Linked DNA regions of Rattus norvegicus. Each later gene encodes a partner of the first gene's protein in a complex. Links are inferred from orthologs where the notes say so. Each region holds a gene or a part of one and is shown on either strand. Other genes may lie near its edges.

What was found. Proteins that work in one complex are often made in the same cells at the same time.
Region 2: the proteins of Eif4e (region 1) and Eif4ebp2 are in contact, whole or in part, in a crystal structure (PDB 3AM7), measured with the Homo sapiens proteins. The link is inferred for Rattus norvegicus from reciprocal best matches to the Homo sapiens genes EIF4E and EIF4EBP2. Residues at the interface, in NP_001959.1 of Homo sapiens: His37, Pro38, Leu39, Gln40, Val69, Trp73, Tyr76, Asn77, Leu131, Glu132, Leu135, Ile138, Gly139, Glu140, Ser141, Asp143, Asp144, Ser146, Asp147, Arg186; in NP_004087.1 of Homo sapiens: Pro47, Thr50, Arg51, Ile52, Ile53, Tyr54, Arg56, Phe58, Leu59, Leu60, Arg62, Arg63, Asn64.
Region 3: Eif4e (region 1) and Cyfip1 share a complex: the UniProt entries of both Homo sapiens proteins name them as parts of the CYFIP1-EIF4E-FMR1 complex. The link is inferred for Rattus norvegicus from reciprocal best matches to the Homo sapiens genes EIF4E and CYFIP1.

Annotation. Positions count from the first base shown.
Region 1 is NC_086020.1:229,737,201-229,744,813, forward strand, and holds the start of Eif4e (eukaryotic translation initiation factor 4E), read left to right. Parts: upstream 1-3,552; 5' UTR 3,553-3,565; coding exon 3,566-3,583; intron 3,584-3,985; exon of another isoform or gene 3,986-4,057; intron 4,058-7,613. UniProt on the Homo sapiens protein: Acts in the cytoplasm to initiate and regulate protein synthesis and is required in the nucleus for export of a subset of mRNAs from the nucleus to the cytoplasm which promotes processes such as RNA capping, processing and splicing.
Region 2 is NC_086038.1:29,940,123-29,944,345, forward strand, and holds the start of Eif4ebp2 (eukaryotic translation initiation factor 4E-binding protein 2), read right to left. Parts: upstream 2,801-4,223; 5' UTR 2,579-2,800; coding exon 2,434-2,578; intron 1-2,433.
Region 3 is NC_086019.1:115,845,320-115,849,619, forward strand, and holds the start of Cyfip1 (cytoplasmic FMR1-interacting protein 1), read left to right. Parts: upstream 1-1,500; 5' UTR 1,501-1,589; intron 1,590-4,300. UniProt on the Homo sapiens protein: Component of the CYFIP1-EIF4E-FMR1 complex which binds to the mRNA cap and mediates translational repression. In the CYFIP1-EIF4E-FMR1 complex this subunit is an adapter between EIF4E and FMR1.

The DNA.
Region 1 (7,613 bases):
CTAGGGAGAGTGAAGAGAGATGTAGAAGTTTAGATTACTCTTAGATACTCTTCAGCTTACAATATTGTGGCCATTTATTTGGTTATACAACTTCACATCCTGTATCTCAAAGTCTGCTTAGTGCTTATCGGGAGCCATGGATGTCCAAAGTTTTGAAGCTTGCTAAAGTGAAAACGACAATGGAAACCCTAGACAGTGAGCAGGAACGTTTTTATATAGATCAGAGCAGGTATGTTTAGTTTCAACCATAGTCAAAAAGTCTAGCAAAAACAATCACTTCAGTCATCTAAACCAGGGAACTAAAACTCCAAAGACAAAGTACGTGACGTTTGAAGTCTTAATGTGAGTTAAAGTATAAAGAGTGGCAACATACCAGCTGGAGGAATGTGTTATATTGAGAAACTATCTTCACTATTTACTAAAGCTTTATAATATTCAATCAGATCAGGATTATAAGGAATAGTTATAGTGACAGTACGTTGGGCCAAAGTAGTTGTGTGTGATCCAGACAACCCCATCATATAGGCCAGCATCATAGCCTCTCTTATTCAGTAGCTTGACTTTTTAAATCAAACTTTTGTTTTCTTTTTATCTTTTGGCTTTTTGAGATCAGGTTTCTCTGTGTAACTGAGCCTTGGCTGTCCTGGACTTGATTTGTAGACCAGGCTGGCCTTGAACTCAGAGATCCACCTGCCTTTATTTCCTGAGCACTCTGACTAAAGGCATGTGCCACTACATGCACAAGCCCGGGTGTGGTAGTGAGGTGATGACTGGGCCCAGCTATCCCTTTAGTTCCAGCTTCTTTGGAAGACTGGGTAAGAGGATCCTTTGAGTGTATGAGTTCAAGACTGCCTTGGACAGCATAGACTCTAACCTCACAAATATGTGATAAGTAAGCAAAATGAAAGTGATTGCATACAGGCAGACATAACACATAAAATCTAGCCTCCAGATATTTGACAGGATGAAATCCTAAGTGTCGACACTAGGCAAACACATCTGAAATGGTAAAAATAGTCAATAAATCACATACAGATATAGAGATCAATTAAACTATATAGAATGGGGCATACTATGAAAGCACACATCTTTTTGTGGGGCACAGGGGTACTGGGAATTGCATCCAGTCTTAAGCAAACTAGGCAAACATTCTACCCCTGAGTTACACACCCTAGCCCAAAATATGAGTCTTCAGTAACAATAGAGGAGGAAGGTTGAAAAAAAAAAAACAATACAAACAAATGTTATTTAAAACAAAAATTTTATATTGGTGGCTTTCAGGCTCGTCAGGATATTTTCTTGCCAATGGATTGGTTTTTGCTGTAATCTTGCAGCTCAAAACAGGATATTTATGCTGTCTTTTCCTTTCTTTGGATAGAGATTCTCCTGTTTCTTTGGCTGGCCTGGAACTTGGCATGTCACTGAGTTTAAACTCCGGATCCTCCAGCAAGCTGGGTTTATGTGGTGTTGTGGGATCTAAAACAGGGCTCTGGGCTATATGAGTACTCTATCAACGGAGCTACAAATCAGCCTCCTAGTGCTGTCTTTTCATAGGAATTAACCAGACATCACTTTACAGACAACAGAAAATAAGGGGTCAATTGTAATCACTTCGGTTAGTGTAACAGATTTGTACAGAGAAATTCACCTATGTTTAGTTTGCAGAACTGTGTCAACTTTAGAATCTACTCCTGCTGACTAAGCAAAAGCTTTCGTGTAAATCGCTTCTGCCATCCTGGTAAACAAAAAAACACAGAGCCCCGCAGTGGCTCTGAGTTCTTACACAGCCTCAATTATGTGTTAGTCAACCCAAGCATCCATTATGTACTCAATAATAGTTAATAGCTGTGACACAGCTCGGGACAACACTAATGCCATGGAGAGGCCGGCGCAGAGATAGCCTGCTTTTCCTGGTGGTAACATTCTTAAGCTTCCTGGAAACAGCTACGAGATCCTGTCTTCCTCATTAGAACCTTTACTCAACACGGTCTTGGTCTTGAGAAACGATGGCCCAGTAACTTAGAAGAAAATGTGGCATGCCAGTGTAGGGGCAAATTTCTGCTTGTTAGAAGTTGTTATGAACATAATTTCATGAACATGAAGTTTCTGTTGGGAGCAGCGACATTCGTAAAGAAAAGCAAAGTCTTGAAACTTTAAAACTGCATTGGTGTACGTAACAAAGTAAACAAAAGAAAAATTTAAAACATTGTTAAGGGTTGGGGATATAACTCAGTTGGTAGAGTGCTTATTTAGCACTCCGAAGCCCCGAGTTCCATCCCTCTCAGCAAAAAAGGGCTCTCCCCGCCCCCACTACCAGCACGTGCCAGTAATCCCAGTACTTTGACAGGGAGGTGGAGGCAGGAGGATCAACAGTTCAAGACCATCCTCCCCTACATCTTAAGTTCAAAGCCACCGTGCGCTACAGGAGACCCAGGGTCAAGAAAAAAAATTGTTAAAACAGCAGCGGAGGCGGAGGCAGCCGGTGCTTAGAAGGCACGCGCTTGCTTCTAGATTCCGAAGCGTTTTCAAAGCTGGTTACAGTCCTTACCACAGCACACCCTTGTGAGGTAAGTGTATTATCATCTTTGGTTCATAAATGAAAAAGCTGAGGCGCTGAGTGATTAAGTCACTCGCCTAAGGAGCATGAGTCAACGTCAAGAGTCATAGTTGACCCGGCTTAACGACTCCTGACCCTCAGTCCAGGGCTGAGTCAGCGGAGCCCGGAGTGGCTTCCCTGGCTGGCACCTGGACGTAGGCTATTTCCGTTCACGTCCAAGCAGAATACTGGAACCGATTGGACAGAACTTTCCAAACTTTTTACGTCCAGCAAGATTCACCCCTGACGCCTTCATCTCAGGACTGGGAACAGGAAAAGCCGACGCGTGCACTCCCCTTCCCCAAGCGTGTGAGTGGGTACCGTGGGCAAGCCCGCCCACCCGCTTGGGCAGCGATGGCAGCAAGGGACCACCCGCGTTAGTGGACCGGGGACGGGGGAACGCAGACCTCATCAACGACTCTCCATCGCCGCCTCTTTCTGAAACCAAGAGAAAATGGTGGGAGGCGAAAAGAAAACTAAATAAAAACACAAGCAACTTGTCTTAGGACCTCAGCTAAGCAAATGAAGCCTTCTTGCGTGTGCTGAGCCTGCAGTTCTCAACCTTCTAGGAAAGATGGGAGGACTGGGCGACAGAGGGCACAGCAGGAATGCCCAGCAGTGAGAGCAACCGGAGCTCTGCCCGCTGCACCGCAGAGGCCTAAAACCTACTCTGCAGGAAGTGCGGGCGGCGCTGGGAGCCGCGCACCCTCGCCAGCGACCACGTGATCACTTTTTTTTTTTTTTGGGAGAAAAAACTTCCTTGCCTTAAGAGAAAAAAAAAAAAAAAAAAAGAGACTCCACTTCCCAGAAGCCTCTTGTTCCCCAAGCAGCTGCAGTCTTGCGCAGGCGCCGCCAGGGCCAAACGGACACGTCCGTCACGTGGGCAGGAGCCGGCCAATCCGGTTTGAATCTCATTTTTTTCCTCTCGCCCCCCCTTCAGGAGCGGTTGTGCGATCAGATCGATCTAAGATGGCGACTGTGGAACCGGTGAGTATTGCCTTCGGCCCCCACCCCCGAGGTCCCCGCGCTCTGGCTTCCTCCGCTCAGGGACTGTCCGCAGGACGGCGTTCCCGGCGCGCACAGCGCCTCCGGCCGCGTCCTGCCCCTTTCCCACCGGCCTGACCTTCCGCGGGCAGCCTCGGCGCCGGGAGGCTGGCGGCGGCAGCGTGGAGCGCACACGCCGTGTGGGGGCCCGGGCACCGGGTCGGTGGGGGAGGGGCGCCGCGCGGCCCTGCGGTGCGGCCGGCGGAGGGCGGCTCGGGCCGCCAGCGCGGGATCGGTCTGGGGTCCCGGTGGGCGTGGGGCGGGCGGCTCCTAGCGGGCACCGTGGTTGGCGGGGCGGGTGGGCGGCGAGCTGGCCTGAAAGAGTCAGAGGGAGCCTGAGGCAGCGGCGCCTCGCCGTCGCCCGCGCCCCGCCGCCGGGGTCCTCGTGCGGGCCGCGCTCTCAAGCTGTGGAGGAGGGTGGGTTGGCGGAGCCGGTGGGCGCGCGGGGCCGGGCGGGCGGGGCGCGGCAAGAAGGGGAGCGCGTCCCGCGGGGAGCTGGGGGCTGTGGCGTTGAGTGGAGAGCACGCCCAGGGGTCGTGTCGCGCACCTCCGGGGGCCGGGGAAGGGGGCCGGCCGAGAAGGTGATCACATTGTCCTGGCCCCTCCACGCCGGGACTGGGCTGTCATGGAGGAGGGAAGGGGGAGGAGCGAGGCCTACAGTTCGCTCCAGCGGGTCGGCTGGCCGTAGACCTGCATTTCACACGCGCCGGGCTTCCATTCATTCATCCTCCCGGCGCAGTGCGCACGCCTCCGAGGACCGTGTAGATTCTTCTACTCTTACGCGAGGAGATCGTCTGGGAGATACTCAAGGAACACTAATTTTGGAAATAGGAACTTTGGAGATTATCTTTTCTTTAATTAAAGGAAGGAAAATTAAGCGTGGGGGCAGCGGCGCGAGCCAGGGCTTGAGTGTGAAGGTCAGAGGGCAGCTTTTGGAGTCCTGAGAATCGAAATTCAGGAGCCTTTTCCGAACCATCACTTAAGCGCCTCAACATCTGCTTTTCCACTGATGATTCCTCCTCACTCTACACTGCTTCCCTCTTAATTAAAGCGCTATTTTGAAGTTAATTGAAGCAAGATGCACAGAGAGCATCACGTAGGTAAACCCGGTAGCCAGAAGGTGGTGATTTTTTTTGTTGTTGTTTTTGTTGTGGTTTGGGTTTGCCGGCAGCTGGCTCACTGGTCTTCCATCCCAGATTTTTAAAGAATGTCACACCTGTGTGATAAAAATCTCAGGTGCAAAAAGGCATAGACTAGCAACCAGAAACCTTTGTATACCACCTTTGCCAGATATTTTTAAAACTCACCCATAGACTGAATAATTTTGATTAGTTTGCAAAACAGCCTTATCTTGGCAGAATTCAAGACTACTTTTTTGTGGGTGGAGGCATGATTTACTTGTTCCTTATTGACATCAGCTTTCCTGCATTTTGCAAAGCTGCCTAATAAGTTGTTAGTGAAATTAACTAACTTTAGAATATCAATGTAAGAACAGGAGGGGAAGCATTTAAATTTAACTTAAACTCTTGACAAGTTCTGCCGTCTACTTCTGACTGAATCTTCTACCTTTCTCTACCAGTATTAGAGGAAAATATTACAGGTAATAATAGAGGCAAAACTAAAAAGACCTAAGTAATAAAACAGCAGTGTGAACTATGACTCTCAGTTCCATTTAAGTCTTGGATTGTGCTAAAGCCACAATGTAGTCATTGGATTTTGTTCTGAGTCAGCTCAGAGTTGCTGATACCTTTTGGGTGGTTACCAAGTGATATTTAGAATACAAAGTTATATAAAATGCGGTCTGTGCTTTGTGAGCTCTTATGGAGCCTAACTGCCAGTGTCAGGCTCAGAGGTGAGATACTCTTCCTACTGATGACCCTGTTGATGTGCATAGTGTGTGTAAATTTAAGGACAAGAGAAGCCTAGAAGCCTAACATGTGAAGGGTGGAACTTGGGTTGAAACTAGTTGGAGACAGTGTGCAAAGTGACACTGAGGTGCTCATTTTCTGTTTACTGTTAGCACACCCTTGCTTAGAGGCTAGTCATACAGTATTTTAATATTTGTAAGATTTTTTTTTGGAGCTGGGCGGTGGCTGCGGGCTACTTTCATCCCAGCACTAGGGAGACAGAGGCATTTCTTTGAGTTTGAGCCCAGCTTGTTCTACAGAGCTAGTTCCAGGATTCCCTCCAAACTGAAAAGATTTGGTTTGGATGCTTGATTTGTAGCTCAGGACCTGGTGCATTTACTAAGTTTATTCTAGCACTAAACTACACCAGTACGTTGTTTTTGAAGTACTTTATTCAGAGGCTTGGCAGAAAGGTTGTATGTAGAAGCCCACGTTGTCTGCTGTCCTGTGCAGGGCAGACCTTAGAGGTATCCCCATGGCTTAGAGCACACTAGTACTTTTTAAAAACAGATGATTTAGTCTACTATTGGATTACAGTTGAAGCTTGTAAAAATTAAAAATCTTATTTGGTCATTGCTATTTTTATTTAGCTTATGAGCTTTTGTGAGTTTTTTGTTTGTTTTGGTAGAGTATTTAATTGTAAACACTTAGAACACTGGTTCTCAACCTGTGGGGTGTGACCCTTTCGGGGGGGGGGGTGTCTAAGGACTGAGCTGCCTAAGACCACCAGAAAATACAGATATTTACATTGATTCATAACAATAGCAAAATTAGTTAGAAAGTAGCAGTGAAAATGGTTTTATTGTATTGGGACCACTATAACATGAGGAACTGCATTAAAGGGTCACAGCTTTAGGAGGGTTGAGAACCACTGACTTGGAGAGTCATGAGCTGTTGATTTTTCTCCCCCTACATATCCAACCTTTTGTAAGCACTTGCCAGATTTTTAGTCTATGGAGTTTCCATAAAGTAATTTTCAATTTGATGCTACATGGTTTTAAGTATTCGAGCTTAGTTATGTAAGTAATGGGTTACAAATATAAATTGAGAAGTTCAAAGGGGAACATTAAGGGAAGTACATTGCTCCACAGAACTTGTGGCAAAGGCTACACTCATGTTAAGCTGGGAATTGTGGCACGGTCAAGATTAGACTCTGGTAAAACTGTCCTCAGCCATGTTTCTAGTGACTCGTGCTTCTTTTAGATAGCTCGCTTTTCTTCTGCTCTGTTTTTCCTTGTTATTAGAGAATACTTTACATTAGTCTTTAATTAGAGGATAATTTCTTGTGGTTTTTACTTTTGGGTTTGTGTAGCCATTGTTGGCTTGGAACTTACTATTTATTTGGACCAGACTGGTTAGCCAAAAATTTGAGGTGGGGGTGGGAGTTCTTCCTATACTTTCTCAGTGTTGGGATTTACAGGTATACAGCACCACACCTAGTCCAGATAGTTCTTTCTTTTTCTTTTCTTTTTTTTTTTCCGGAGCTGGGGACCGAACCCAGGGCCTTGCGCATGCTAGGCAAGCGCTCTACCACTGAGCTAAATCCCCAACCCCCAGATAGTTCTTTCTTTATGCTTAGAAACCTGCTTTTAAAATAAGACTTAAAACACAAGAGAAGCCTGCTGTGGTCGTGCACACCTGAAATCTGAGCACTCAAGAGTAGAGGCAACAGAATTTTGAATTTTGCTTAGCCTACAGCAAATAAAATTGAGCACAAAAAGGTCCAGTGAGATAGATGGCTTAGGGGTAAAGATGTTTGTTGCCAAGCCTGAGGATCTGAGTTGGAGTGCTAGAACCCTCATGGTGCAAATAGGACCTCTTGTAAAGTTGTTCTCTGACCTCCAGGTCCACACCAAGACAAACACACACACACACATAGTAAATAAATATACATTTAAAAAGCTTTAAAAGGGGCTAGAGAGGTGGCTCATCAGTTAAAGCACCTCAAGAGGACTTTTCCCAGCCCCCACATGGCAGGTAGCTCACAACTGTCTGACAGGAGTTCAGGAGAACCTTCACACCAGGCACACACATGCTGCACAAATCTGTGTGTGCCGGCACACTGC
Region 2 (4,223 bases), on another chromosome or scaffold:
TCATTCCAAAGGGGTAAAAGTCAGCAAGCATTGTACATCTCTAAATGCTGCCACCGAGCTAAATGCTATCTATACAAGACTGTCTAGCATGCCATGGGGCGCATATTTTTAAACCCAGCACTAGAGAGGCAGAGCTGGTCAGGGCTACACAATGAGACCCTGTCTCAAAAATCAAATCAAAACCAACTCAGCTCCAACCCCTCCCCTGCAGTGTCATCTCCTTACAACCAGGAAGCAAGCACTCCTCATCAAAATCCAAAGACTGCTAGGCACCGTAGCCTTTAATGCCACTGCTCAGGAGGCAGAGGCAGGGGCATCTCAGTGAGTTCCAGAACAGTGAGACCCTACCTCTGAAACAAACGACTATGTCTGGAAGCTCTATAGAGGCAGGCTGAGAATGCCCGGGCATGCAGTGACTACATAAGAAGGGTAAATGAACGAGTATTTGCAGCAGACCTTCCCAAGTATCCCAGAGCTAATTCAAGCTGCAAGACAGCTTCTACCTCTAAAGCGAGGCTTGGAGACTCAGTGCCTTTCCTGCTTCTGAAAGCAAGCAGCTTGGTGTTTGCAATATGACCACAGGCTTTTCCCTCAGGAGAACAAGATTAATGTCAGTTAAAAAGTCTGCTTCCTCCCCAAGTAAATCAGAGCTAAACGTACCTGCTATGGTCACATGTGCTCTGAGCTGCTAGAAGCATGGCACTTTACTGACTCTGGAGTAAATTACAGTTCTCTCTCCCACACCTTAGGAATGATTTTTTTTTTCTTTTTTGAGACATGCTCTTACTATGTAGCCTTAGCTGTCCTGGAACTCACTATGTACAATGGGTTAGCCTTGAAATCCCAGAGATCAACCTGTCTCCGCCTGGCCAGTGCTGGCCACTAATCTCTGTTTCTTAAAAGTTATCTGTTCAAGTGGAAACAATTCCACTCAGGGCTGACCAAGATCTTTTCTGATTTTTGTTACACCAGATACAGAGGGACACACACCAATAAATCCCAGCACTCAGGAGGTTAAGGATGCAAGGTCATGGGTTTGGGGATCACTTAAAGAGGTTCAAGGTATATGTATATGGACCACATGGAGAAACTGTTTCAAGAAAAAAGGAAGAGGAAAGAAAGATTATAACCTGCTGGAAAAAAAGCAGATAAGAAAGCCGTCTTCAGCAACTTAAACAGCTGCCCCCTCAGCAGGATCTCCACTGTCTTTCCCATCTTAAACACAGCTCTCCCCAATGAATGCAGCTTCCTCTTGCCTGGGCCATTTGAAAGGTCTTTCAGGGCATTTATGTCTTTCTACTATCCTTTCTCTAGACCTGCCAGGCTAGATCCTCTGCCAGCTTTTCTTCTAGATGTTTGCTTTGATTTTTTTTTTTTTGCCCCCTTCCTTGTTTGGTTGGTTTTTTGTTTGTTTTCTGAGACAGGGTGTGATGCTGTAGCACAGGCTGTCCCGGAACTCATTAGGTAGCCAGGGCTGGCCTTAAAACTGCCATTCTCCTGCCCCTTCTTTCTGGAGTAGTAGGATCACAGCCCTAACTACCACACAAAGCCTTCTGGATTGCTGTCTTTTGGTGTTGGCAAAGTCCCCTTATTCTGTGCCTTCCAATTGCACAAGATTTCAGGACGGCCAGGCCCAGTTGCAAGCGATTGGTTAGGAGTCCTGCCTCATGATCAGCGATCTATAGACTGCAGGGGCTGCTTATCCTCTAGCCAAAGGCCAGCCCCCGGGTCACCAAAAGAAGGCAAAGTTCTAAGATTAGAAACGAAAAGCCAGTTCCCTTCATTAAGGCACCAAAGAACGCTTTCCAAGCTCCTCCCTCTTAGAGAACAGCCCAGAAAGGAGACAAACAACCTTTGCGCTTCCTCCTCGTGACCAATTCAACTTGCTTTACCTCTTCTCCAGTGATAGTACACAGTTCCCGGCCATCTTTCGAAAAGCAACTTCAGGAACCTCCCTTTGCCTAGGATCAAGCAACCTAACCCGACTAGGGTGTGCTGTCTGACAAAGCACCTTCAAAGCCGCTCCTCGAAAGCCCTGGTCTGAAACCTGACAGCGCCTCTACTAAAGCCATCAACTTCTTGGATACCAAAGGAGCTATTTTACACGCCCCACTTGTGAGAGTTGGGGCTCCCCCCAACCTGTGAATGACTCCTCCAACAAAGTAAACAATGCTGTCAAAGGAGGTTAACACTGGGCGAGGCATGCAAAGTGCATGCCAGCCTGGTCTCGGGACTCTAAGCGCAGCCAGAAGTCATCTTACGCTTCCGCGCCTCCCTTCCCTAATGCCCGTAGGACAACTCTAGAGGTAAGCTCCGCCGCGCAGAGTGCACGGTCTGCAGCCCACTGTCCGGGCGGCGGAGAGGAAGCTGTTGGTCCAGCGTGTAGTGTGCCACGCGCCAGCAGTGATGGCGGGCAGGCCGGGCGCCGCTCACCTCCCGGTGTTGTGGAGAACAGCGTCCCCCCGGGCGTGGTGCAGTAGTCCTGAGGTAGCTGCGCTGCGTCGCTAATAGCCACGGTGCGTGTCGGAATGGCGCGGCTCTGGCTGGGCTGGTGTCCACCACCGGCCGACGCGGACATGGCTCCGGGGCGGGCTCGTGGCTTTGTGCAGCGGCGGCGGCGGCGGCGGGGCCCGGGCGGCTGTGGCTCCTCGCGCTTGGCTCTCAGCGCTCTCGCTCGGTCCTGTTGCGCTCCTGCTCCCGCCGCCGCCGCCGCCGCCGCCGCCGCCGCCCGGTCCTCCGGCCTCCGCCTGCAGCCTCAGCAGCAGCAGCAGCAGCAGGAGCAGCGGCAGCAGCGGCAACGATGACTACCGGAAGCGGGCGAAGGCGGGAGCAAGGGGTAGTAGAGGGAGGGAAATATGGAGACCGGACATGACGCTAGAGGGCGTGTCTAGGGATGGTGGGCGGGGCTGAGGGCGGGGCTGAGGAAGACCTAGGCTAGAGGTAGAGGGTAAACCCGGAAATCCGAGAAAAAGGAAATGGTCAAAGGTGGAGCCTTAGGGTCTGGTGGGCGGGACTTGGAGGGGCGGGTCTGAGCTCTGTGGAACGGAATAGAGTTGACGCGAAGCTGAGTGTAGGTGATTAAGGGAGGCGGGGAAAACTTGTTTGTGGCGTATATGTCAACTATCTACTTTCCCGGTGCCTACTTCAGTTTCCCATCTATATCTAACCATTAAAAGCATAACGCTGGGGGGCAGGGAGGGCGGCAAAAAAAAAAAAAAGCATAATTCTGGGGAGCCGGTAAGATGGCTCAGCGGGTAAAGAAAGGTACTTGTCACCAAGCCTGCCGAGTTCCATCCCCAGATTCCAGCCAGTTGTCCTCTGACTTCTCCACACAGCCCATGAGCACCCATTCGCCCGCCCATAAATAAATAAATGTAATAAAAATATTTTAAGGAGTATAAATTTAGTTTTAATTATTATTAAATAAAAGCAATGCATGTATGATGAACTAAGGGTTAAAAAATCAAGGACTCTGGGGTTGGGGATTTAGCTCAGTGGTAGAGCGCTTGCATAGCAAGCTCAAGGCCCTGGGTTGGTCCCCAGCTCTGAAAAAAAGAAAAGAAAAAAAAAATCAAGGACTCTGAGGAAGGGCTCAGCAGTTAAGAGCACTTGATGCTCTTGCAGAGCACCAAGAGGACCAGAGTTCAGTTCCTAGCACACATGTGGTGGCTCAGAACCATTCATAACTGCTACAGTTTCAGGAATTTGACCTATCTCATTTTCTGATTTTTGTAACACCAGGCACGCGCGCACACACACACACACACACACACACACACACACACACACACACACACACAATGCATATACATACATGCAGACAACACACTACAAGAAAATAGGATGGTTAGGAGTTTAAGGCCCATCTATATTGCACAGCTAGTTTGATGCCAGCGAGGGATTCAAGAGACTGTCTGAAAAAGTCATGAAAAGTACAAGATGAGACGGGTCACCTGCTTGCTGTGTAAACATCACGACTTGAGTTCAATCCTTATCACCCACATTTAAATTTTTTTTTCTAAAGCCCAGATATTCCAGCACTTGGGAGGCAGAGGCAGGTGGATCTCTGAATTTGAGGCCAGCCTGGTCTACAGGGTGAATTCCAGAACAGCCAGGACTACACAAAGAAACCTTGTTTTGAAAAGCCAACAAACAAACAAACACCCAAAACAAAAAAACAAAAGCCCAAGGCCATATATGAAATATCCCCACGCTGTGAAGAG
Region 3 (4,300 bases), on another chromosome or scaffold:
CCAGTATTGAAACTTAGTCCCTAGGCTATGGTCCTGTAGAAGTGGAGGAAGTGGAAGCCTGTGTTTTGTATTTTGCTGTACCAAGGAATCAACATGTTACATTTGTATTATTATTATGGTTTAGTGTTTGTTGATTTTTATCCTCTTGTTACGAATATGTAGAGAGGCTATAAGGATTATACATTTAAATAAGTTTAACATCTCATATTTTGTAATAAACCTAAGGTGGTTAAAACACTGATATGTATCTACTGTAAATAAAATTACATAAGTTACTTAATAAAGATTTATTTTTGTTTAGTTGGGGAAGGCAAACTGGTGTGGGAGTTGGGTATGATGGTGAATGCCTGTAATTTCATCACTTGAGAGATGGAGACACGATCCGGAGTTCAAGGCTAGCCTGGGTTACATTAGTTACTGTCAGACCCCAACAACAGACAAAATGTTAAAATTCTTGGCAGTAAGGAGGGTCGTCAGGAGTGGAGAAGGGTAGGTCGTTTGGAGTTAGTTGTCTCCCTAAGTTCAGCAATACCATATTACTTAACCTTTCCCTCTTTTTCTTGGGGTCAAGGAAGGGCAAATTCAAGTCATGTTTTCTTTTGTCAGCCATTCCTGGGAGTGTGAACTTGTGTTTGCCGGTGCTCAGAAGGCAGATTAGATGGTAGGTAGCACTGTTATTTCAGGGGATACTTACTTGGGTCTGGAGTATATACATGCTCCTCCAGACTTGCTCCCACCATTTAACACATATAGGCGCCCCCTTCTCTGTCATGGTTGTACCTTCTGTGTCTCTTTTTAAGTTTAACCAGAGGCAGGACAGGAGGGCAATGAAAACTTGGGGAGGAAGATAAACTCCATCACTCATGGATTTACTGAGGCTTCTCACCAACACTGATGACAAGTTATAGTAAAATGAACCACCACGTTGTTCTTGCAGAAAAATCGAGGTTGGATTCCCATAACCCATGTAATCGGCTCACTTGCTGGGGGATCCAGCGCCCTTTTCGGACCTTTGCGGGCTCCAGGCACTCTCGTGGTGCACATACACACAAGTAAGCCAAACAAACGTTCATACTCAAAATAAAATGAACTTTTAAAAAAAAGTATCCTTAGTGAAATTTCCAGCTCTATACTGGCTAGTCCTGAAATTCTTTCCAGGATGATGGACCTTAGTCTCAGCAGAGGTCCCCCAAATCACGGAAAACTCGGGAGGCTGGTGAGCCAGGCGGTGTGGAGCTGAGTCTCCATCCTCTCCCAGCGGGCTTGACGGGTGGAGTCCACCAAGCAAATCCCGGCTTGCTTTGCTGCGGTGATCTGAGCAGCAGGCGGCAGGCGGCAGGCGGGGCTACGGTACGGGAGACTTGGAGAGACTTGGGGGCCGACCGGGCCTGCCTGGAGGAGCCGGTCCCAAGGCGGCCAGCGGGAGGAGGGAGGAGCGCCGGGAGGAAGAGGCCGAGCCGCGGAGCGCCGCCCCGGAGGAAGGGGAGGAGGCCGGGTGTTTCCTGGTGCATTCCCGACCCGCCCGAGTGACTCACTGGGGTAGGAAAGCTCCCGGGCCGCCCTGGACAACCGAAGGCGGCTCAGACCAGGTAAGGGCGGTCGCCTGGCCTCGGGGTCCTTGCTCTACTCGTAGTCTGGTGGGGCGAGCCTGCAGACGGTCTCTGCACAGCCTCCGGGACCGCACGGCCTCCCGGGATTGCCTTCTGGGCTCTGGAGTCTCCGGGTCTCTGCATGGCAGCTCCCGAGCCCGGGACTCCCGGCCCAGCTCGGCGGCTCCACGGCTCCCTCCCGGGAATCACATTCCAGAATCCCCGGGCCGTGGGCTCCCCAGTGCTAAATCCCTGTTCCCTCTGCGGTGCGCAACCGGCACTCCGGTGGCCCGGCCCCCGGGTCCCGAACCCCCAAACCCCCGCCCCGACTCACCCTGGATCCTTGGATCCCAGAGGATCCCAGATCTCGAGCTTCCGGCACGAGGTTTAGCTCCAAAGAGGAAGAGACAACGTTAATGCTTAGTATTTTACTGTTGAAAAGTAAGGATCGGCGGATAGTTAATGTTGCACTAAAGTGGCAAAACAAACCCGAGTCCACCATGGTTCTGCCTTCAGAGGAAAGGAAGGAGAGTGTAGTCTAGGGAAGTCGGTTCTCAAGATTCTTGGAGAGAGGCATTTTGGGCTTTGTTAAGGAAACGGGATTGTTCCGGAGCAGTAGTGCGCCGCCGCACATTCATACCGAATTTTGTACTTTAAGCCTAAAGCATCTGCGTAATTTGCAACATTTCGTGAGTGTGAGGAAAGAAGGAAGAGATTTGCAGCTGGGGATTGGTGAGGGGGCTAGGCAGAGGGAAGCATCGGGCAATCCGTGTGTTTACACGGGACAGTACAAGGGTGATCCTCGAGATTTCTCTTGGTTGTCTGCTAACCGATCGCTTAGTTGAGTCGTGTTTGAAGCACCACTGAGACCAGGGTACTCCTGCAGGTACTGTTACTGAGGTCTGTGCTTGCCAAGGTGGGGGGTATTGTTCCTAGACCCTCGCCAAGTTCATTGGTTGGAAGTTGAAGCACATTGATAAATTGCTTCAGTTGAAAGGTTCCTCTAAGAAATACAGCCACTAGACTAAGTGTTTGTGTATTTGAGGAAGTGTGCATTAAGGCTTTTTTTAGAAATAAACACTGTATATGTGTGTATGTTGTTTGTGTGTTCTTCTATGTGGGTGCTCAGGTGTGAATGTGTTTGCATGTGCGTGTAGAGGCCCAAGGCTGATTTGGAGTTTTCCACCTTATTCTTTGATACAGGGTCTCTCAGCTGAACCCAGAGTTCACTGATTGGAGTAGTCTTGCTAGCCAGTTTGCTCCGGAGATGCCCTGTCTCCGCCTTGGGAGCACTGGGACTTCAAGGAGGTTGCCATGCCCATTGACATTTCTGTGGGTTCTGGAGATCTGAACAGAACTGTACTCATGTTTGTGTGGCAGATGGCTAGCCACTGAGCCATCTCCCTGGCACGGGAGCGGATTTTTACCTTTACATATAGTCAAATTCATGCTTTGGAGTGTTGACTGCCACTGTAATTAAGGTGTAAAACCGGTTCCTATCACCCCGAGATTTTCTTTCCTGTGTCCCTTGGAGTTAGCTCGTTCCTATCTTCAACTCTTGGCAACCATTGATCTTCTCAGTGCTATTTTGCTTCCTCCACAAAGTTCTGTGGTAATCTTGGAGTCCTCATTTTAAGATGGTTCTATGCCCTCAGTGAAACATTTGGGGGTGTTGGGGAGGAGATTGCTACATTTAAGGCCATCCAAGATATTTTAACAGCCAAACATCGTTAAGTGAGAAATGTATGATAATATATGTAATATTATTTGTGTTACAAAAACGCTACTCAATGTCTGTAAGAAGTAAGGCCAATGCTTTGGAAAGTAGAGCCTTGGGAAGGTGGAGTGGCTTAGTGGGTATAGGTGGCACAAGTGGGTATAGGTGGCACACAGTGGGTGTAGGTGGCACACAGTGGGTGTAGGTGGCACACAGTGGGTGTAGGCGGCACACAGTGGGTATAGGTGGCACAAATGGGTATAGGTGGCACACAGTGGGTATAGGTGGCACACAGTGGGTGTAGGTGGCACAAGTGGGTATAGGTGGCACACAGTGGGTGTTGGTGGCGCAAGTGGGTATAGGTGGCACAAGTGGGTATAGGTGGCACACAGTGGGTATAGGTGGCACACAGTGGGTATAGGTGGCACACAGTGGATATAGGTGGCACACAGTGGGTATAGGTGGCACACAGTGGGTATAGGTGGCAGACAGGTCTGACAACCTGAATTACAACCCACAGTGGGAGAAGACTAACTCCTGAAAATTACCCTCTGATGTCCACAGGGATGTGGTAATTTGTGCCCAAATACATACCCTGCTTTCCCCCATGAACACACACCATACACAAATAATAAATAAGTAAGTACTCTTTAAAAGGAAAACATGTCATTCTGGATACAACCTGGAAGAAAGACTAAAATGCGGTTTCTTTTCTCTTTCCCTTTATCTTACCATTTCCAAAATGGCTCTTTAAATATCTACTTGACTTGTGTTTGTTGTGGCCTGCATGAGTTTGTGTGCACCAAATGCATGCAGGATTCTGTGGAGACCAGAGACAGTATGGGATCTCTTGGAGCAGGAGTTACAGGCTGTTGTGAACGTCCATGTGGGCGCTGGGAACTGAGCTCTAGGTCCTCTTGAAAAGCTTGTAATTGAAGAACCATCTCCATCCAGCACGGTTTCATTGTGTGGCCCAGACAGCCTTGAATTCATG